4 linked regions of the Caenorhabditis elegans genome follow. The protein of the gene in region 4 interacts with the protein of the main gene of each other region in a pairwise test. Each region holds a gene or a part of one and is shown on either strand. Other genes may lie near its edges. The genes, in order: Y102A11A.2, ZK1067.3, F37A4.1 and rad-54.L.

Region 1 (6,445 bases), on a different chromosome or scaffold from region 4:
CTTATATAAAAGAAAAATATTGAATGATAGGCTACTTTCATGATCGAAATGAACTCTCTTCAGCTGCTTTTGCTTTGTGCTTTCATTGGACTTGTTTCTACACAATGGAATCTCGAGTGTAAAATTCAAGTGAAATTCCGTAATGATGCGCACAAAAAGATTCGTATCGATCTTCTCGTCCCATCACTTTCTATCATGTCTGACCCAGTTATTCTTGACGCGTGGAAGCACGAGAAAAGTGTTCATGTGAGTTTCGCATTTTGCAGGCTTTCTTGATATATTCCAGTTTTTTTTTCAGATCAAGGGAAAAAACTGCGAGCAGAAGCCATGGGTATTCATGATCTACGGATGGCAAGACGACAAATGGGTTCTCAAGAAGAAGACTCAATCCAAGTTCACTGGAAACGGATGGTTCCTGACAGCTGTTGATGATGAGTATACTCTCAATGTACTCGACAGACAAGGAATCGCGTGCTCCGAGGGAAACTGCGGAAAGTAAACAAGAGGAATAGCAATAATAAAACTGATAATAAAATTGTCTCGTTTATTCATCAATTTCAATTATAAAGAGTCATTATAAAAAGTGCTTGTAGTTGCTTCTTCCTGAGAATACTGCGGGGTGAAAAACTGGCGGACTGTATCAGTAGTCATGGTTTGATAGTTATTGTAGAATTCTTCCTGAAAGTTGAATTATAAAATAAAGTCCATATTAAATAGAGTTCAGTTTGGAAGAGCACTGTCGTTTTTTTAATCAAATTTTCTAAACTTTTAATGATTTTTCCGATTTTGCAAAATTCGAAGAAACGGCCAAATTAAATCTAAATTCCCGCGCTAATAAGTGACGTCACTCTTGACATTTTCTTTTTTTCAGATTATATTTATCTGTTTTTCTCTATTTTTTTTCAATGTTATATTTGAAACACAGCTTGTCAATTTTTCCAGCAATTTTCCGCATAAAAAATATTGCTGATTTTTTTTGGGTAAACAAGTTTTCTTCACGGAACTATGTTTGAGAAAAGTACAATTAGTTTGTCAAATAAAATTATGAAGTAAACCCTGTGAGTGTAAAAATGACGTCACTCATTTGCGAGAAAATTAAAATTTAATATGGCCGTTTCTTGGATTGTCGCAAAATTGAAAAAAAAATCATTAAAAATTTAATAAAAGTTTATAATTTTTTTTACAATTAATTTCGGTTATTACGGCCCATTTTCTATCAGTTGAATCAAAATTTCAAACCTTCTAGGGTTAGTTATTGATACTTTCGTATTGGGTCTATGGAATCTTACATCGTGCTGCTTAATAAGATGTTGAGTATCAGTAGGTCTTGAAATATCGGTTTTATCTAAAGATGATAAGATGCCGTCCACCAGATCGTGGATGAAAGAGATGACACTTGGCTGAAGAGTAGATAACTGAAATTTTCAATTTATAGCACTGTTTGAAGGTGAAGAAAAGCATGTGTGGATTTTGTTTAACTACGCTTATAGTGACTCAAAACACTCGAAAATTTTCAGAAAAAAAAAATTTAAGTGTAAAAATCGTAGAAACACTTTGTAGTTGTCACATTATGACAGAAAATTAAAATTTTCCAAAATTTTTTTGAAAAGTTTTACTATGATATTCTGTCATTTTGTCACCATTATGTAGAGTAATTTTTAAGCACTTCCCCACTCGCGCAAATATTACTTTAGGATTAGTTGAAGTCGAATGATTATTGAGTGAAGTGGAATCAGGATCTTCTTCAGTGACAGTAGAGAGAAGAGAATTCATGCTTGTCTGAAAATGTGAGTGTTCTAATAGTGAGTCAGTCACAATAAATAGAATAAATATAAAAATAGAAAGATTACTATACCGTCGAATGAAGTTCCGAGTCATCATAATCATCAAAATCATAATAATGCTCGGCATACTTTTTGCGATTGGCGTTCTGATCGGTTTTCATATTTTTCTGAAATAAATAAGTAAATTGTAAGTTGTAAAGAACTAGCTACACATACAATTCGTTGAAGAAACGTGTACTCTTCCGAGCTGTCGGCAACGTTTTGTATAGACTCCTACAAAGGCAATAAACGACCGTTTTTACGACACGATACCCACCTGATCATTAGCGCCGTCGTGTCCTTCAACTTGTCCGTTGTCTTCATCAGTCTGCGCACTTGTGAGATTTTCCGCATTTTTTGCAAGCTGAAAAAGTGACGTTGGTGGGAAACTAATAGTTACTGAAGGGCAGAAAACACTTTGAAGAACATATTTTTCTGTCAGTTATGCACTTTATTTCAAACTAAAAGGAAGAGTAGCGACAGTGGGGAAATTGTTAAAAGCCACTTTATGATGCCAAAATGACCAAATATCATAGTAAAACTTTTCGAGAAAAATTGAAAAATTTTTATTTACTGTCAAAAAGGTACAATTACTCAGTTTTGCCATTTATAATTTTGGAAGTCGATTAAAAAAAATTCCTACGATTTTTATACTTCAATTTTATTTTAATTAAGTGTGCCAAAACACTCTAGAGGTCAGAAGATGCGACATTGCTTTGGATTTCTTTAAAAACATATATTTTTCAAAAATTTGGCAGTGTGCCAGAACTTTGACTGGAAATTTTGAAAAAATTCAAAATTTTTGGTGCCACTCCACTATTATAATATTTAATATTATAATATTATATATAATATTATAATATAATATAATATAATATTTGAAAAACAAGTAAGCCATGAAATTCAAAGGAGAATTGTTTTTTTTTTCGATAAATGACTTCTAAAAAAAATTACAAACATTGAGCTTTTTCTAAATTTTAAAAAATCATATAAAATTTAGAATTTGTTAAACATTTTTTACTATAATATTTGCTGAATTTGCCGAGCGTGGCAAATTTGCCGAATTTGCCGAGCCTGGCAAATTTGCCAAATTTGCCGAGCCTGGCAAATTTGCCAAATTTGCTGAGCTTGGCAAATTTGCCGAATTTGTCGAGCTTGGCAAATTTGCCGAATTTGCGGTTTGCCGAGCTCGGCGAATTTAGAGATTCGCCGCACACCTCTGTAAAATCAAAAAGAGGAGATATATTGTTTCTAAAATGGAATACCTACGCTCTGGTTGATTTGGCGCCCTACGAGAGCGCCATTCAAGTTTTTTGAATCGCGTGAGTCTTTGATTCTTTCTTCAAGATTGCGGATAAACTTTGCCACGTCTTCATCTTCATCAACCATTGTTGCTTCCAATGCGAGCCTTTCTGCTTCCAGCCGCTGCGATTCTTCAATTCTTCTCCGATATTCCAGTTTAGCAGCTTCTTCAATTCTTCGTTGCTCTTCTCGTTTTGCCCTCTCTTTCTCTTGTTCTGCTTTCTTTTTGGCTTCAAGTTTAGCCCGAATTTCTTCCTCCTGTTTCTTCTGATTCTTGAATTCCCTCTGAGCTCTTTCAATTTCTTGAAACTGATTTGGAGTGTATCCTATTGTGAGATTCCTATTTTGCGTCTGAGAGCTCATGGGCAGAGGCTTGTATGTTGATTGAGGTTCTGTATAGTACACTGCTGGGGCTTCCCTTTGGAAAGCTGATTTATACTCACTGGACTGTGGAATTGAAGATGGGATGATTGTTGTTGTTTTACGACGATCTCGACTGTTCATATATCTCGATCGTGACGGTGAAGGACTTCTGTCTAAGTTCGATGATTGCACAGTTGTGAGATAGTTTGTACCCAAATGTGATTGTTGTATTGGCGGAGTCGTAGTTACTTTTGTGGACGGGTTTGAATATGAATGCCGAGAACTCTCGTTACCTCTTAAAAATGTGCTTACTTGAGAAGACATGGGTAGAGTTTCACGCACTTCGGCAGGTGGTGCTCTGTGCCCAGAGAAAGAGAGTGGTGAAGCAGTCGAAGTTGCCAAGGTGACGTCGTCTTTTGGACGATGATGCAAATCCATAGAGACTACAGGGGAGCGAACCGCGTTGAAAGCGCGTGAGCTAAAGTGTGGAGAATGAGAATTGGGTTGTTCTAATTTGGTATTGTGATTACTACTTGAATAATCGAAAGAAGGATTGTGTGTCAGTTGAGAACTTCTGGAACTTCTAGATTCGGAGTTTAATCTTTCACTTGATTGATGAGATGTAGCCGTGTTATATGGCTTTTCGCGATGATCGGAGTAATCCTTAGTGGGTGTAGGTCGGTGAGAAGCCGGAGAGTATGTCGTCCTTGAGAGTTCGTAGTTCGGTTGAGCAGAGTCATTGTAAGAAGATGTCGGGGATTGTTGGAAACTTCTTATTCCATCAGTACTAGGATGCACGGTCTCGTTTTTTTGATTTCTTGCATTTGAAGCATCATTTGGAGCAGTTAAATTTTCAGGATAATACCGACTGTAGTGAATAGATCTTGTGCTTTCTGCTGGGTTCTGCATACTGGCAGAATCCTGAAAGCTTTGTCGTGCACTAGAGCTACTGACAGTTGTCGGTTGTTCATTGGAATGACTCGCGTAACTATTGTAACCCACGTAAAGCGGCGGTTTCTGTGATTCCTCGTAACTTTTCGTATGAACACCTGGATCGTAAGGATTGAAATTAGTCTTTCTTGAACTTCCAGGTGAGAAAGTAGCTTGAGTTCCCAGCTGCGATCGTTGATCCACTGTTGAGCCACCACCATAATCAACTGTTAATTGCCTTGACAAATGTGGACTTCTATTTTCAGAATGATGTACACGGGATTCATCTTTGGAACTGCTCGTTTTTTGTTCTTTTCCAGTGTACTGATAGTGCAATTTTGCACCAGAAACTGAAAATTTATACATTTTAAATTGTATTTATACATATGTCATAAACTCACATGATGTAGATTTTTGAAGATTTGGAGGATGAGTCCGTGGTCCTAAATAGTTTTGATCTTGGTTGGCCATTATGCCTTTTTCTGTAAATGTTAAGAGTAAAAACTGTATTTCGAGTACACTTTTGTGCAAGCAAAATTTTAACAATGAGAACAACAGAGATGCAAGGTTTTTTGTCTAAAAAAATGTTTTCATTTTACCGTTACATTTCAAAACGAGACATGTGTCATTTGAAAAATATATACTGAAGGGTGGTCACTGCAAAATGTTGAGCCTTCAATTTTGATCTAAACATTTTTCAGTACATTTTTTCACTAATTTCGAGGCCTCTAGAATTGCACCAGATGCTGAAACTTTTCAAGGGCAGGTAAAAATTATGAAAACTCTTTGGGGTACTTATGGGTTTCGTTCCCCCCCCCCCCAAATGTTTTAATTTTCCAAATTTCAATAACCCCCTTTCAAATTAAAACACGTGAACAAAAGTAGAAAACAAAGCATTCATTTTAACAAATAAAACCATTCATTTCTCCAAATTGTTCCAAAAAGTTCACGTTTTTGTGGTTTTTGTCGTTTCTGAAATTCAATTTTCGACTTTTCAAATTAAAAACGTGAACAAAAGTGTCGGAACAAAACATTCATTTCTATAAATCGTTCCAAAAAATTCACGTTTTTGTGGTTAATTGAAATTAAGAAAATTGAAGCATTTTGAGGGGAACGAAACCCATAAATACCGTTTTTGGATGATTTCTCGCCAGTATGGAGCAAAGAAATTTTCGAAAACTTTCCTAAAATGTTTACCTACCCTTAAATATTTTGAAAAACATTGAAAGTTTGCAAAAACACTATTTCAATAAAACCGTACAGGCCTCTAAAGTAGTGGAAAAATTCACGAAAAAAATTCGAGATGGAAATTACGAAAGTTGAGATGAGAGTTTATTTAAAATTATTTCTAATAAAAATGATAATAAAATTAAAATTATTCCTTATACATAAATAAACAGTATTCCTGTAAAAATAGTGAGAAGAGCGATTGAAGACTAAATCAAGTTGGTTAGAAAAGTCATAAACGACTCTTCATGCACAACACACACGCACACAGGCACACATAAAAACTGATAACAGATCGGTGCCACACAAAATGTAAGCGATCGCCTTAAAGTACTGGGTGAAATGAAAATTTGCGAGACTCAGAAAGAGAAAATTGATAAGGTTCGAAACTTGGGAAGACAGTTTAGGCACTGTTTAAACACTTCATTGAGATGTGGGTGGTAAATTGATAATAAAATAGGTGATTCACATTTACAGACGCTTGGAAAATACACCACTGAAAAATCAAACAAAAGTGAGAAGTTTAAATGTTTATTCCAAAAATAGAATGGGAAATTTTATTTATCAAAAAATCAATGAATATCTAGGGTTTTTAATTGTCTCATTTTTCATTTGCTTCCGGAGAGTTGGATATATATTTTGATGCATTTTCAATGATTTCCGAATTTAATAATGAATCGCTGAAATTATTAAATTAATAAAAAATATTTGAAAAAAAGACTATACTTTTCTGCCGGGGACATGAATGCAAGTGCAGCAACACACGCGGTTGTGAAGAAATATGAGACTTCTTCTAATAC
Region 2 (4,115 bases), on a different chromosome or scaffold from region 4:
GAAACAGCTGCAACCAACAACAGGTAATAATATTGATTTTCCATTAATTCATGAATCAATATTACAGGTCATTGTCCTCCAACAACAAGACAACTGCCAGAATCAATGTCAATCTTCCTGCATGAACACTTGCCAATCATCGGCTACCGTTCTTCAATGCCAGCCAATTTGCCAACAAACCTGCCAGAATACCTGTCAACAAGCCGCTCAAATCGTTGTTCCATGCCAATCGAGCTCTTCTGGATGTGGATGCTCATCTGGATATTCTCAATGCGGTGGATCATGCTGCCGTCGTCGTTAAGCATCCCCTTCCCTGAATTCTATGAACGAATTCTTACCGTATCCGCGTTTTCTATGCGACAACTTCTGTTTTCGTTTCCCCATCCCACTTCTCACATAACTTTTATTATGACATTGTCTGTAAATAAGTGGTAGCCATGTGAGGTGTCTAATTATTTTATTATTGTTCCCTTCTTTTTCATGATGTTTCATTGTCCTTGAGTTTCGACAATAAATTATTCTAATTTAAGAATTATACAAGAAATGTTTTCATTCGGCAAAACATAAAATAAAAAATCACATATATTCACAGTAATCAATCATCATATAATAAATTGTATTGTTTAGTCCTGTTTGAATAGTCCTCGAGCTGAGCGACGAAGGGTTGAGCGACGCTGAAAAAAAAATTTAAAAAGAAGAAAAACAAATGTATCCAAATTAACAGTTTTTCTAAATTTATTATTGATTTTATTCCGAATTTTGCAAATATAAACGAAGTTACTGAAACAAATTCGAATTTTCGACAGAAGTTTCAAAATTTTCGCGTTTTTTATTCATTGGTTTCTCTTGATTTTTTCCTTGATCTTTTTTAATTGTCACCCAAAAAAAAGTCGTCGAAATTTCAAAATTAGCCTAGAAATGAGTAATGTAGCATTAGTTTCAACTCTTTTTTTTCGGAAAACTTTCTGAAAAAATGACAAAGTATCGAATCAAACACTAAAGAATTTTTCAATTAATGAATGAAAATTCCATAATTCGATAGAAAATTAAAAATTTTGAAAAAAGAGCACATGCTTGTTATAAAAATGCACATACCCTTACAGCACCAGCTTTCATCATTGAGCTTCGTCGTTTTTTCTTTTTCTCTGGAACATATTCCTGCACATCGGAATCTTCTTCGGCAATATTCATAGCTTCCAAGATCGAACCGAGAGGAGTAATCGGAATTGGACCATGGGAGTTTTTCTCTGGCGATTTCACTGCGGAGATATTCTTCCAGTTCTCGATTGACTTTTCAATAAGTGCAATATGATATTTGGAGAGACCTGGTTTTAGATCGCAAAGTGTCGATAGAACTCTGGAAAAGATGAAGAATTATTACAATCGTTAAATTTTAGAAATTAACTAACGTTTGAAAACTGATCACTTGAATGTGATTTTCCTTTTCTTTTTCTTCCATTTCTTGATTCAACGAATCGTTCATGCTATCAGTCTCATCAAAGTTTAGAACAGTTCTAGGAGTTTTCGATGGACAATTGGCAAGATTGATCTTCTGGAAAAGCCTTTTTTTAGAAAGAAAATTGGATAATAAGCAATGATACTTTTCTATCAGCCTTCTTCGTCGATAAAATTGATGTTGGCTTGAAACTGAGATCCGAAATAGGACTGTGCCTAACATCTGAAGAAGAACAAGCAGCTATTCCATCAGCTTCAGCTGACTCTCGCGCCTCCTGAATTGCGGATTCAACTTCGAAAAATCGAATTTTTCGCTGACGATTGCCCGTGGTATTGAGCGAGTTGTTGGTAGAGGATGGTTTGCCTGGAGTTGCTCCAGAGGTGATATTGTTCAGAAATTCTGAGACCTGAAAAAATCATAACTTAAAAATCAAGAAATATCAATCCAAATACCTCATTCCTTTGAGATGAATTTGCTTCGAAGACATTAATACCAAGTGGCATCAAGCTTACACGTGGCTCCCGGGAAGCGATCGAGGCTCTCTGAAACAAAAAGTTCATGAAGTTCATTTCTAATATAAAGTCCTTACAAATCTGCTCATAGGCTTTCCAATCAATGACTCTCTGGCTCCGAATGTATGACGTGGCGCAGCTATCGATGGACGATTCACTGGAATGACGATTCGTCCACTTTTAATCATATCTAGCGAATTTTGATCGATTTTGAAGTCGTCCTCAGGTTCAACTTGACTGACTGGGTTCCTCAAAGCTGTGGAACTGTTTTGAGCAATAGATTGTTGAGGGGCCATGGAAACCATCGGAGCTACCGACTGTTTTGGAGCAATCGATGCTCTTGGAGCTATGGGAACCGTTGGTGGCTTCGTAGACTTTTTTGCTAACCGATTATACTTCTGTCTTGATTCCTTCAACCTATTAATCCGTTCTTCTTGTGAAATTATTGAGCGACGACGGGGAAAAACCATTCCGATCTGAAAAGTTGATTTAACATTAGTAAAACTTCACTTTCAAAAAGAGAACATAAATATTAACAAATATCAATAAACAGGAATTCACGATGCCAAATAATTAATTTTCAAACAAAGATGTTTTAACTATATTATTCATTTGTTATGAATATATGCAAATGAATTAAAAAAAAAATAAATATAAAACAAGTGTGAGGGAGAGATTCGGGGGTCCTGCTGAATTCAAAAACAAATTACGCGCGTCGAAACGAGATGGAGCGCCAATGCAATAAAACCCGAGTAAAAAGAGGGGTAGAGGACACGTTTTTTCTGGGATACGATTTCTGAAGATTTCGGTGGGAATATTGAAAAAATAAATAGTAACTGAATTTCAATTTTTCTCAATCGAAATCTCAAGGAATCCACATCCAAAAAAGTGTTAAGGAAAATGTACCAGCTCACTTAAATTTACAGTTAAAACGTTGATATGAAAAGGGAGGGGGGGGGGGGGGTCTAAAATCAAAAAATAAATACGATATTTTACAAAAAATGGAATGACTAGAGTTCTGGAACTTGAAGTCTTCTCCATGACCAGAACTTTGGAGTAGGTTCGAGCAGTTTTGGGGCAACTTTGACGACGATAGCCTCGAAATTCTCTGAAAACTTTTCTATAAGAAGCAAGTTTTCAATAATTAAACATACCGATATTAAGCGCGTAATTATGTTGCTCGTTGTATCTGAACATGTTCAGGCATGCATCATTTATTGCATGAGCATCTGAATCCGCGATGTCTTTCTTTTCCAAAACCAATTGGTGGCACATAGAAGTGAGCTGAAAAACAAAATTATTTGTCAATTTTGGAAACCAAACGAACCTGCTGCAGAACAGTCATTCTTGAAATAAGCCATTTCAGCTTTGGAATAATCGCACCAGGCATGAACGTTTCGTAAGTATTCGATAGATGAATATTCACTCGATTCAACTCATCAATCAATTTTGGAAATGGCATATCTCCTAAAACTCTCACTGACATCAGATCGAATGTTGGTGGAATGTCTTTTCTTCTGGAAACTCGGAACTTCGATGAAACCGACAAAAGTCTGGTGATAGCTAGGCAGCAGTTTGCAACTTGAAGTAGGGATGCAAATTTGAACTTGTGCTCCGGCTTTCCTTTGAATGTTTCCGCTGATGTTCGAATGTCGAGAATTTTTTGATGGAAGTTGCGTAGAATGTCCTCCGAAGCATTGGTGAGATTAGTCGTCACATTACGTATTTCTCCAATTGAATCCTGAACAGCTTGAAAAACTCTTCCTTCTAATGTTGATTGATGGATGTTCCGAATATTGGATTCAAGCTTTCTCATGTTCTCATTCAAGTAATACTTCTTAGTGTATCTTGCATATCTCAAGACTCCAACAATGAACGCCGAACACTTGGGACATTTCAACTTCTCATTAGCTTCTTTTTGTTTTTTGACGTGATCATCAAGAACTTCCACAGGAAAAACGTGATAACATTTCGGAATCATGATGAGACGATGAACTCGTGATGTACTTGAGGTGCCAGAAACACATTCAATGTATTTGTTTCGTTCACACGTGCCACAGATTTTCGGACATTGCTCACCACAAATACCAAGACATGCATGTCCACATTTGAGTTTATCAGTGCACGGTTCTGTACATGGCTTCACG
Region 3 (4,622 bases), on a different chromosome or scaffold from region 4:
CTTCTTTATCGAAAACAATTGCTGTTGGAGCTTTTGGAACGACAGAGGTAACAATGTGTTCCGCTGTGACGATATCTCCTTTGTCATTAACGAAATACTCGAAGACGTGGATTTGTTTCTCGTTTGTTCCAACTGCAACAAGTCGCCGGCCATGAGTGGTCAAGACATTGGAATGAGCGAGACACAGAATCTACAAAAAAATACTATCAGAACAAACGTTTCGATTATTTTAGGACTGACCACTCTTTTCTCAACAGCTTTCAATTCTTTTTCAATATCGAAGGAAGGCTTTTGAATCCGTTCCGGGTTGATTTTTGACCAACTAATGAAGTTCTGAAATAAAATTTTGAAATTTCAAGTTTAAAAATATGAAACACCTTCAATTCAGTTTCTTCGCTGATTCTGAACGTACGGATCAAGTCTCCAGATGCAATGAAAACTCGTTCCCGAAATGCTGTGATGAACGACATGTCAGTCTGAATATCGAGTTATTAATATTGAATTTTCTGAACATTAAAACTATAACAAAAGGTATCGAAGAGCGCATGACTCATTGCTTGACTATTTAAAAAACAATGAAATAAATACAAATAAATACTAGCTTTCTTTTGACATTCGATAAATAAAGAAATATTGCACCCAATATTATCGACTATTCTAAATACAATTATTATTTAAATGTACAAGCGATTGGGGAGTTGGGACAAAGAGAAAGGTGAACAATTGAGTTGATAATTGAGATGGTTGCCTAGAAGGTATCACGGCCATGCGGAATGTTGAAGTATCTGAAACTTTGCGATGAAAAGATTTACTGGAAATGAGAAACTTACTGTGGATCGAGAGGAGTAACGTGATTTGCGTCGAAATCAATCAAATAGTGATTACATGCATCAAAAAGACGTTTTCTTTGTGTTGATTCTTCGCGCAAGCTGACTCCCGAATGCATGAGCCGTTCGGTTGGAGTCATGTCGAGCCAACGATCTACTTGTGGTTCCAAATTTTGAATCAACTCGGGATGTCTGTCTTTGATGATCGATTTGAGTAGCCAATTGATTCGATTTGTTGCTCGTCGAACATTCTCGGGTTGATCATCAACTGCAGTGGTCAGAATCTCTTCTTGGAGGCGTCGAATCAGACGGATTGGTCCCTTGTAACGAGCGAGCTGAAAATTAGGAAATTAAAGTAGTCTTTCGAGCAGTTTTAAAGGTTTCTTAACATACCAATTTATCGATTTGAAGATTCATATGGTTTCTGATCGCATGCTCCACAATGGTAGAGAAGAACTGAAATGGAAACATTAACCTCAATTTTTTTTTTCAATTTTGTACCGTCGGCATTCTGAACAGCGCAAGTGGCAGTAAGTCGTCGAATGTGGCATCCAATACAACTGCTTTTACATCTAAAAATTATATATTAGAAGATTTTTTATAGCATAAATTATACTCACTTGGATAGTTGGACGCGAGCCAAGCAACTGGGAACCCGCCAATCGACCACCCAAAAAGAACAATATTCTCCTGGCGATATCCAAGAACTTGAATAGCGTACTGCATTACTGCGTCTGCAGCTGCTAAAGTGTTTACTGCGTATGGAAGTCCCGTACTTTCTCCAAAGCCCGGAAGATTGAAGCCGAGAGTCTGAAAAGTCGAATAAATGAAATTGGCTACGAAAAAGATTGTTTTACCGTATATCCCAATTGAGCAGGAGAGTTCATTACTCCAATTTCATAAAATCCGGCATTTCCTTCAAAACATATTATAAGATCCTGTGATTGATTAGTGCCTCTCAAAAACATCGCATCGAGAGTGTCTCCTTCTGACGATTTGATCCACAAACGCTGCCCATTCTGAAAATAATGCAAATTAATTAGTTGCAAAATTATGTTTTACCGTTTTTTCTTCAAAAGCTAGAAATCTACTTTCAGGAAAGAAATTTTGTTTTTTTTTCAGAATTTGACACAAGGATTAAAACACTGTATTCATTTACAACCATAATCTACTATTATACTGTCCCGTTTACAGCCTGCCATAAATTCAGAACCACTGACACGGTGGCCGAGTGGTTTAAGGCATGAGACACTTGATCTCAAACGGTTCTAACCGAACGCAGGTTCGAATCCTGCCCGTGTCAGAATTTTTTATTGAACTTAAATTGTTTTTGTTTTTAAAGTCGTTCACCTTATTTTGAACCAGAAGCTTTCGTGCAGCATTCAAATTTGGTCTCATCATGTATTTCAAAAGTGCCATTGATCCGGGATAAATCAAATGTCTTCCAAATGCGTGAATCGCCCAACTCGCCAGACCGCGAGTAACAACGCCGGCTTCAGCGACTTCTGGTTTTAAATGCCATAAATCCGAATTGGGGCGAGCTACAAAATCGGGAATCACGTCTAGAAGTTCAAAGTCGTACTTCTTTAGTGCTGCATGACTGTTGTCATCCTTCTGAAACGTAATTAATACATAAACATAAAGATTTCAACTGATACCTTGTTTTTTTCGTTTTCCCAAATATCTAAAAATCTCGAGTTTGTTTCGTCAAAGAGCCGACCGAATGTTCTTGCTCCATAACCGATTAGTGTTAAATATCCGGCATATTTCAGAATTGTCAGCATTCCAGCTGGTGTGAGCCAGTCTCGACTGTACAAGTAACATAATATTACGGGGCCAAAAGCTAATGAACTGGCAATGTAGTAAATTCCTAAAAACAAGTTTGGAAAAGGTTATGCTTCATAAAATAATATAACCTGCAGAAAACGATATGACGGTGTTTCCGAGATTTTCCAGTGTTGGTTCCTGTCGATTGGGTTGTCCAAAAATTCCATAAAGCCGTGGTCCCGAAATTTGCGTCCAGAAGGACGGCATTTCGACTAGTTGCTACTGAAATATGTAAATAGGGAAAACACAATTAACAAAAGACAATATAAAATGTAATGGACATATATACCATTTTTCAGAATTTTGATACAAAAAAAAACATCAATTGAGAAAAACAATTATATTAAATCAAACATGTACAAATAAGTTATTCCGTAATAAAAACTTCAAGTAGAAACTTCAGTTTTTTCATCATCCGTTTCTTCCTTCTCAACTTTATCTTTGTCTTCGACTTCTGTGTTTTGTTTTCCTTCAGATTCGTTATCAGATCCTGATCCTGAGTCTGAATCCGAATCATCTGATGAGCTCTCGTCAGATTCATTATTCTTTTTTGTCAATTTTCTCTTCTTAGCAGCAGCTTTTTGCCTTAATCGCTTTGCTCTCTTCTTCGCGGTTTTTGATTCTTCTTCCTTTTCAAGTTTTTCTACTTTGTGACGGTAGGCATCGTCCAATTCTTCTTTTTTTGCTACCGCATCAATGTAGTCAAGTCGATTTTGTTCTTTTCGTCGGTTGTTTCTGAAATTTGGATATGAAAAGACAAATTAAAAGTATAACTTTTCTAACCTGTAAATATGAAATTCAGCACTTCCGGCAGCAGCTGAAGAACCAACGACATTTCTCACGAATTCCAAAGGTTCTTTTGGCGCTCTCAGTGTCTCCTTTTTAATTGGAATTGGAGCGGGCTTGTCCTGCAATTATAACAAATAAAATTATTATATTTTTAGCTAAATTAAACTTACAATATTTTGTTGCAATCTTGCCAGTCTCATCCGAATTAAATCGGTTGCGGAATTTGCTCGGCGCTCTTCTTCTGTGATTGGATCATCTCGTGGCATAATGAGATTTTCTAGAAATTATCAAAAAAGAAATTAGTGCAAAAAAACCGGGAAATTTTATGTTTTATCCGCGAAAAATCGAAAAGATTGGCACGCTAAACTACACGCGCTGCGTCATCTCGGAGCGTCGTACTGCAGTTTCAAAATCCAATTTTTTTGTTTTGGCTTTCTTAGAAGCTACTTCTAGATAGGAAGTTGCTTATTATCAGTTAAAATATAAAGTTTATCAAATAATTATATTTACTTTTCATTATTCTATAGTTTCAAAGTCAACTTCAATTCATCATCAGCTTACAGAATGGAAATCAATAACGGGGCTCAACCAGAAAATGCGGCTGTTTCGATTCCGTCACGGTAAGTTCTGACGACCTCTTTTTCTCCAAAATTTTTAATTTTCAGCTCACCGTCTGGGAAGTCCGAAAAACGAAAAAGTCCAAGCATTGTTTCCGGCTGCCGTACGGTTATGAATGAGAGAAGCTTTACCAATTATTGGTCCGTTGAGCGCTTCACGGTACAATTAGAGCTTCACAATCCAGCAGAATTCATGCTGGCACCGTAAGCAAATATAATATGTTTAAGATTAATCAGTTTTACATTTTTCAGTAAATTTGGAGATGGGGATTATGAGTTTGTCATGAAACTATTTCCGAATGGGAAAGACGAAGAAACCGCCGGATATCTTTCACTTTTTCTGCTCATAAATAGTACGTAGAGAACTTTAAGTGTTTCATTTTTCGTTATTAAATGTTATTTACGAAGATTCTTTCCAGAATGCCCTAATCCTCGTCTCCGTTTCCGTGTCAGCTTTACAGTCGAAACAGCAGACGGTCCAAGAAGTTGCCATCTCAATAAGAATCTTGTTACGATCAATCGTAGTGGTATCGTGACTGCAAGCAAGTTCTTTTCATTAGAC
Region 4 (7,585 bases):
AAATTTCTTCTAGTCAATTACCTCAAATAGGTTAACTCAAACCTGTAAAAAGTGAACTGATTCTGACCAAAATATTCCCCCAAAAAATTGAATTTTTTGCGACATTTTGCATATTTATTGTCTAAGTCGAAGATTGTCGATTTTGATTTTTCAAATTTGAAAAAAAAATCGATCGATAATCAACATTTCCGTTTTATTTACATCATCAAAGCTCAAAAAATATAATATATTCATTTCATACCTGTTGGCGCCTGACCTTTCCCGGAAAATTTAAAGTTTTTATTATAATAATAGGCATAATTTCTTCCCTCAAATTACAAAATAATGTCTTTTTTTGCATAATTTTTTCCTCTTTCTCAACATTTTTCATGAATTTTTTTTCTGAAAATTTGTACATCGTATCAATGTATTTTTGTGCAAAAAAAAACTACCAACTACCCCTTTCGTTTCCAACCCACCCACAATTTGATCAAAGTTTGTCTTTTTTTTGTCTGAATTTGAAAAATAAATTGAAAATTCATATTGCAGGCGGTGTATTTTACATGAGATCGGGCGATAAAAATGATATTGGGATGACTTGGAACAAAAATTGAAAGAAACAAATTAAATAAATAACAAAACAATATAACATGTCCCGTTTTCATCGCATAGATAGTCTATGTTATGAAATAGGGAGACTTCTAGATTTGTTTCAACTTGGAAACATTTAACTAATCGTCGTTTTCTTCGGCTTCAGAAGGCACGTAGTCCTCATCAACTTCTTCAACTTTTTCCTGAACTTTCTTGACTTCAACCTGCAAAACGCTATTTTGAAGCATGGAAATATTAATTCAATGATTCTAAATTATATATCACAGACAATTTAAAAATTACAGAATTAGAAAAATAAACTACACAACTAGAATTCGAAAGAATTTCCAAAAAAAAAATCCAGTCGGTTTTGGAAAATTGTTTTAGTCGACTTCCAAAATTTTGAGTGACAAAAACTGAGCAATTGTCACTTTTTGATTTCCACTTTTTTTTGAAACATTTTACTATTATATTTGGTAATTTTGGCACCATAGACGTAGTTTTTTTAAACCTACGTTGTGCGATTTCTGATGAAAAACAAAGGAGATCGATCCACATTCGAAGACGGCTCGGAGCACATTATCAGCCACCTGAAAATTAAAATATTTAAAAATAAAGATAATAAATACAAACTTTTCTAGCTGATTTCTGAGAATGAAACCAATTCGATAAATCACTTGCACAGTCCGCATTGGTTGGTGGATCAACACTTTCAACTCCTTGAATACATCTTTTACATTTTAATCTGAAAGAAATTTATACAATTGTACATTATAATGCATAACATTATTATAACTATCAGAAGAAAAATTCACCAAAAATAAAATCGGTTTTATAAAAAATATTATTTTCATTCTGATACTTACTTTTCATGTGTATCCGATGCCACTGTTGATTCCAACTTGAAGAGTTCTCGAAGTTGCTCGGAACTAAAATGACGAGCTACGTCTTCACCCGCATCAACCTGAAATTTTTAAGATAACTATTAAATACCCAGATACTGATAATAATAACCACATAATAATCTGCAATTTTCACTCTAAAATTAAGTTAGTTACCGCGTCTCGACACGACCAATTTTTCAATTAAAAATGGCGAGCGCCTTTAAAGAGTACCGTGGTTCTAGGTTTTTTTTCAGAATTTTCAGCAAATTAAGATACATGTAATACAGTATTTGAAAAGGCGAAAAAGAAATAGCAAAAAATTAAAAAAAAGTTTCACGATAACGAGGAATTGAGAACTACAGTACTCCTGAAAGGCGCACACTCATTTGCATTTGAGAAAAGTCGAAGCGGGGAACCGAATTTTTTGACAAAATCGCAAAATTTAACATTTTAGTTCTAGTAGTCTTTAGAACATTTTTAGATTATATGAACAAGAGGAAATCTTACCACACACGATGACAATGCTTTTTTATGTGTCTGACGTTGAAACATTTTCTCTTCAATTGATCCAGTTGCTAAAAGTCTATAGATGAAACACATTTTCTTCTGTCCATCTCTCCAAACTCTCGCCATTGCTTGATCGTCATTCGCTGGATTCCAATCCGGATCAAACATAACTAATCGATTGGCTCCAATAAGATTTAGACCACATCCACCAGCTTTCGAAGAAAGAAGGAAACAGAAGATAGTGCTGGCTGGATCATTGAATGTATCGACAATCTTGGAACGTTGTTTGATTGACATTGAACCATCAAGGCGCACGAAATCATAGCCACGAAGTTTGCACAGCTGAAAAGTGAAGAAGTTTCAAAGTTTAAGTGACCACGTTATAAGTCGGTCTAGATTTTAAAGGTGGTGAATTTGCTTCAAAAAATCCAAAATAGTCATACATTCCAAAAAACCCACAAAAGAAAGCAAACAAATCGCGAAAAAAAAAACAAATCGACATTTTAAATTCCTTGTTTTTTTGGAAAGTGGGCTTCTCATTTTGAAGGAAATTCAAACAGAACATTTAGCCGAACATGGAAAATTGATTTTTTAAAGTTGACTTTTTTTTTCGTTTTCTCCGTTGTGAATTTTCTGAATTTGAGACTATTTATGATTTTTTGAAGCGAACTCCACATTTAAGTCGGTCTAGATTTTTATCATAAATCATTTTTTTTTTGGAAATTCGCTTACCTCCATAAATTGATCAATTGTCTGTGTGTAGTTTGATACGAGAACAAACTTGTCATCAGTTGTTTTGCGAGTGACTGCGAGAATATAATCGAGAACTTTCATTTTTCCAGAAAACGATGGATCAAATGATTTCGGGTTAAATGATTCAGGGAATATGGATAGACATTCTGAAAATTATTTTCAGAAGTTTGTGAAAAACGGTGTCGGTTTTTCGATTTTTCACTAAAATCGTAAATCGAAACCTTTTTTTTGTTTTTCCGATATTAAAAATTTTTTTGAATTTTCGAAAAATATCTTAAAATTTTGGTTTTTTCTGAAGAATATTATACGTTTTCTTTTTTTTTTCATCAGCATAAACAAAGCTTTACGAAACATTGAAATTTATAGTTAAATTTTGAACTTTTTTTTCCGATTTTAAATGCTCCGATTTTTTCTTGATTTTGAATACATTTTTATAAATCTGAAATTCTAAACTCACTGTTTCTGAACCTATTATCAGGTTTTTGAAACTCATCATAAACCAAATATGGATGATTGCAAAGCTTTTTGAGATGAGTGATAAACGAAAGAGCAGATGCGGTGGCACCCTAAAAACAATTTATTTGTATTTTTTGAATTTTCAAACAAAATACCTTGTCCTTTTCGACAATGCGGTTTTGTTTTTCACATTCGATAAGTTTATTGTAGAGTGTCTCTTGAAGTGTTGAGTTTTTACAGCAGATGATGTGCTCATATTTAACCTGAAATTAAATAATTTTATTTAGAAATCAGAAACTTTCATATCATACCGGAAGATATTTTGTTAAAAGAGCTGATGTTCTTCGAATAATGCATTTCTCTACAAGTGAAATCATTTCCTTCGTTTTCTCTTCACCTTTCTTCTGATCTTCTGAACTTGCGTCGGCGTCGCGACCTCTAGAAAAGATCACGGATTAAAAAAATTGGGAATAAAAATAACTAACTTTAGAATAGCATTCTCGAACTTCTTCCTGAACTCACTTGCAGTACCCAAAAGTCCGGGATTCACGAAATTGACCAAACTGAAGTTAATTAAAAATAATTGAATATTTTGAACAAATAGTACCTAAAATACTCTAACAAGTCATTTTGAATAGGTGTACCCGAAATCAGGACTCTTCGAGCACATTTGAGACCACTCAACGCCTGATACGTCAGATTCTCGCTGTTTTTGAGTCGATGTCCCTGAAAAGCTCGTTTTAAATAGAGTCAAAACAATACAGTATCTACCTCGTCACAAATAACGATTCCGACATCTCCAGAATGAAGAATATTCGCATAAAGACGGAATGTTTCATATGAAATAATGAGAACAGGGATGGCACAACGCATTTTTGAATCCGCCATAAATGAATCTGAAGTTGGAAAATTAACTTAATTTCAGGGGTTTATAACATTTTCTTCAAGATTTCAAGTTTATTCACTCACTGAGACAAGCAATAATCTGTTCTCGTTTTCCACTGTCCACTGGCATCGCATTCAGCCGTGTTCCCAACCACTTTTTGATTTCTTTATCCCAATTTTTCACCAAACTACTTGGACAAACGATAATACTCTTCGAAACTGTTGGACACGCATCGGGACTTTGTCGTAGAAGTGTCCAAAGTAGAGAAATGCATTGAAGTGTCTTTCCAAGACCCATTTCATCAGCCATAATACATCCATGAAATTCGGGAATATTAATACCAGTCACACAATCCCACATGAATTTAACACCATCTCTTTGATGCGGACGCAGGATTTTTCCAACAACCGGATCGGCTACCACGTGCACCTGAAAAATTTGATAAAATGGACATTCATATTTTTGCAATATTTGAGTCGTTTTTTTTATTCATGTTTTTTTTTCGATTCTCGCAGCTAAAATTCTCACCTTTCGATCCTTATCTTCCTTGAGTTGTGCGTGTTCACTAAGATGTTCAGGAGCATAAAGAATCAATGCACCTTCATGATATGGATCAAATAGAGCACATTTTCGACGGTTTCCACCAAGACCTAGGCTTCGACCAGATACTGAAAACTCGTTTAAAATAAACATTTTTACATGTTTTCTTACACATATATCCCTCCATCGGAATTGAAAACTTTCTCGACAACAACTTCGCAATCATAGCATCGTGATCTGATGATTCGGAAGCCATACGTCTAGAGAATACATCGATATTCACAAAACGTAATGGACTTGCTTCTTCTACAGATACAGGTGGTTCTATGGCAGGCAGTGCCTTCTTTCGTCGTCGAAGACCTTGTTTTGAAGGAGAAACTGACGTAGAAAAAGGGGAAATGAAGGTTTTGTGTATCTGAAAAACATTAAAAATTACAATTACAATTAAGTTCCGAATTGTATTTCATTGCAACTAAAAATATTAATACATTTTTCGGTTCCTCCGTTCGTCCTGAATATCCTAGACTTTTCCGTTTTTGTGTTGGAGCAGTAGAGCTTGTGGAAGGTCTGAAAATAATATACCGCATTTCCTCTATTAGTCTTGCATGCAAGACTAATTTTCAATAGACCCGTAGGGGTGCAAGACTAATAGGGACTGCAAGACTATTAGAGGCTACAAGACTAATTTTCGAAGATCCAATAGCTTTGTTAAATTGGCCATTTATCGTCAAAATTTTGACTTGAAACAGTCTAAATCATGCAAAATACATGCTTTTCTATTGTTTTATCAATTACTTGAACAGTTTAAAATTTAATTTAGCTAAAAAATGGCGAAAATTTTGAAGTTTTGACAAAATACTGCTGGCCTGGCAAGAATAGGGGTGCATGACTATTACCGTATTTCCTCTATTAGTCTTGCATGCAAGACTAATAGAGGGAATACGGTATGTGTTAAAATTTGAATTTTTTATAAAAGCTCACAAATTTTCCGGTGTAACTTCTCGTTTCCTTTTTGGCAGTTCAACTGGGATATTAACATCTTTTCCATGACTATCTTCTAAATTTTCGAACGTTTTTTTTGGCATTCCTGAAAACTAAGAAAATCTTTAATTTCGCAGAACAACTGAATAAACAAGTAGAATTTACAGAAATTCAACAAAATTTTTAAAATGCTCTTTTTATTCAAAAAGAACGGCGCCGCGCCATCTTGAACGAAAACAAAGTTTCGAAGAAGACGAAACACGGACACAGGGCGGTGTCAGCTATTAATTTTCAATTTAACAATTATTTTACAACATAGATTTGTTGTGAAACATTTTTTTGCTTTTGAATCAATTATAATCTTTTTAAAATTTTGAGTCATAGCGAGTCACTGCTTTTTCATTCCATGAATCTGCGGTGTCTGCTTTTGAAATTTCAGTTTGAGGTACGGTTGAATTTTTTGTGTGCATTAACACAAAAGTGTTTGCGTACTTTTGCCACTTTTTTCATTTCTTGATTCGTTTTGTTTATCGGCGCGCGATGAGTCATTTTTGCCGTAATTTCCTTGAAATTCCAGTTTTATTTATTGATTTTTCACAGCTTCATATTATTTTTTCCATTTTAGTTTGCCGAACAGCGAAACAAAAAGCAAACGATGTTCTCGCATGTTGTCGATTAAAGCTTTGGATTCCAACATAAATTTCACTTTTATTTTGTTTATATTGTGAAAATCGATACTTAAATAAACAATTCAAAGCAACTTTGATATAATTTAGAATATTTGCAGTGCAAATGGCATCCGGCGCGTCGGCAACTCAGCGGATCCCTTCAAAACGGCAAACGCTGGACGAGGCATATGCCCCGCCGGCCAACTTCCTTGAAATTGAGGTTTGAATAAAAATCAATGAATTAGATCAAGATAACTTGCAGGTTATCAATCCTATCACTCATGGTGTTGGAAAAATGCGCTACACGGATTACGAAATCAGAATGAGAGTAAGTATAGATTAACACTGACCGCATAATAAAATCGTTGTTTCAGTCGAATCTCCCCGTTTTCAAGCAGAAAGAATCAAGCGTGCGTCGCCGATACAGTGATTTCGAATGGGTTCGTGCTGAACTAGAGCGAGATAGCAAGATTGTGGTTCCAACGTTGCCAGGAAAATCATTCAAACGGCAACTGCCATTCCGATCCGATGATGGAATTTTTGAAGAGGAATTCATTGAAAATAGGCGCAAAGCTCTCGAGTTATTCATCAATAAGTACGTAAAACTGTTCAACTATACGGACATCAAAATGAACTCAGAAAATTTTCACATTTCTAAAAGTTTTAATAATATGTTCTTGCAGGGTTGCTGGACATCCACTTGCTCAAAACGAACGCTCTCTCCATATTTTCCTCCAGGAGCCAACTATTGACAAAAACTACGTGCCTGGCAAAATTCGTACCGCTTAAATTTTAAAATGTTTCTAAATTCTCCGCTCACGAGAAAAATCTCAAAATACCCAGAGTTATAGTTTTAACGCTGTCTGTTTCAATAAACAGAAGGAAACTTTTAAAAAATGATAATGTTTTCTTATCATATTTTTACATAACAAAAAATGAGTAACGCTTTCTGATCTTTTGAGATATTTAGTTTTCAAAAAGTGAGTTTTTAGAAGCTTTTTTCCAATTTAATCTCGGCCCATCAAAATATTGTTTCCATCCCTCCACCAAAATGCGGTATTTTTCGAAATTGTGTACTTTGTCCCCATCACCACTTCTTTCCCATTGATTTCCATTTTCTGGCTCCTGTTTATTTCATATTTATTTTTACATTTTTGTGTATAGTTTCCCAATTTCCCAATTGATTGCACTATTTTTATTGCATGAACCCCTTTTATTTGAACAAATATGAAAAATAAGTCTTCCGTTCCTTGATTTCGTTTCTTTGGATTTTAAAGTGGTAAATTGGCAGTTGTGTGCATATCGCAAATATCTTGAGTGTATCATTAAAACGAGCATAT

Evidence for each region.
Region 1: the proteins of rad-54.L (region 4) and Y102A11A.2 interact in a two-hybrid assay, tested with the Caenorhabditis elegans proteins (one large-scale study listed by BioGRID).
Region 2: the proteins of rad-54.L (region 4) and ZK1067.3 interact in a two-hybrid assay, tested with the Caenorhabditis elegans proteins (one large-scale study listed by BioGRID).
Region 3: the proteins of rad-54.L (region 4) and F37A4.1 interact in a two-hybrid assay, tested with the Caenorhabditis elegans proteins (one large-scale study listed by BioGRID).

What each region holds. Positions count from the first base shown.
Region 1 is NC_003284.9:2,025,097-2,031,541, reverse strand, and holds Y102A11A.2 (Chromatin-remodeling ATPase INO80), read right to left. Parts: upstream 4,901-6,445; 5' UTR 4,890-4,900; coding exon 4,820-4,889; intron 4,769-4,819; coding exon 3,093-4,768; intron 2,188-3,092; coding exon 2,101-2,187; intron 2,058-2,100; coding exon 2,001-2,057; intron 1,952-2,000; coding exon 1,856-1,951; intron 1,780-1,855; coding exon 1,690-1,779; intron 1,416-1,689; coding exon 1,290-1,415; intron 679-1,289; coding exon 562-678; 3' UTR 532-561; downstream 1-531. Other genes in the region: Y102A11A.5 (MliC domain-containing protein), read left to right, coding at 49-246, 299-499; Y102A11A.3 (Protein unc-13 homolog A), read right to left, coding at 6,247-6,325, 6,372-6,445.
Region 2 is NC_003280.10:9,221,598-9,225,712, reverse strand, and holds ZK1067.3 (uncharacterized protein), read right to left. Parts: upstream 2,445-4,115; 5' UTR 2,439-2,444; coding exon 2,046-2,438; intron 1,999-2,045; coding exon 1,909-1,998; intron 1,863-1,908; coding exon 1,602-1,862; intron 1,553-1,601; coding exon 1,410-1,552; intron 1,358-1,409; coding exon 1,096-1,357; intron 675-1,095; coding exon 624-674; 3' UTR 537-623; downstream 1-536. Other genes in the region: abu-14 (Activated in Blocked Unfolded protein response), read left to right, coding at 1-23, 68-301; znfx-1 (NFX1-type zinc finger-containing protein 1 homolog), read right to left, coding at 2,979-3,076, 3,123-3,252, 3,296-4,115.
Region 3 is NC_003281.10:6,721,643-6,726,264, reverse strand, and holds F37A4.1 (alpha/beta hydrolase), read right to left. Parts: upstream 2,877-4,622; 5' UTR 2,862-2,876; coding exon 2,744-2,861; intron 2,698-2,743; coding exon 2,486-2,697; intron 2,442-2,485; coding exon 2,178-2,441; intron 2,131-2,177; exon of another isoform or gene 2,045-2,130; intron 1,847-2,044; coding exon 1,685-1,846; intron 1,638-1,684; coding exon 1,448-1,637; intron 1,400-1,447; coding exon 1,329-1,399; intron 1,284-1,328; coding exon 1,221-1,283; intron 1,163-1,220; coding exon 831-1,162; intron 786-830; coding exon 749-785; 3' UTR 541-748; downstream 1-540. Other genes in the region: wdr-4 (tRNA (guanine-N(7)-)-methyltransferase non-catalytic subunit), read right to left, coding at 1-190, 241-333, 378-470; F37A4.2 (PRKRIP1 family protein), read right to left, coding at 3,041-3,389, 3,438-3,562, 3,614-3,709; bath-41 (BTB and MATH domain-containing protein 41), read left to right, coding at 4,008-4,063, 4,109-4,264, 4,313-4,413, 4,480-4,622.
Region 4 is NC_003279.8:9,063,183-9,070,767, reverse strand, and holds rad-54.L (DNA repair and recombination protein RAD54-like), read right to left. Parts: upstream 5,690-7,585; 5' UTR 5,682-5,689; coding exon 5,578-5,681; intron 5,164-5,577; coding exon 5,085-5,163; intron 5,012-5,084; coding exon 4,768-5,011; intron 4,725-4,767; coding exon 4,585-4,724; intron 4,486-4,584; coding exon 4,140-4,485; intron 4,067-4,139; coding exon 3,942-4,066; intron 3,897-3,941; coding exon 3,778-3,896; intron 3,734-3,777; coding exon 3,656-3,733; intron 3,609-3,655; coding exon 3,482-3,608; intron 3,434-3,481; coding exon 3,326-3,433; intron 3,281-3,325; coding exon 3,172-3,280; intron 2,861-3,171; coding exon 2,694-2,860; intron 2,304-2,693; coding exon 1,962-2,303; intron 1,535-1,961; coding exon 1,437-1,534; intron 1,316-1,436; coding exon 1,204-1,315; intron 1,161-1,203; coding exon 1,086-1,160; intron 795-1,085; coding exon 711-794; 3' UTR 504-710; downstream 1-503. Other genes in the region: snx-3 (Sorting nexin-3), read left to right, coding at 6,370-6,465, 6,508-6,573, 6,620-6,840, 6,929-7,034.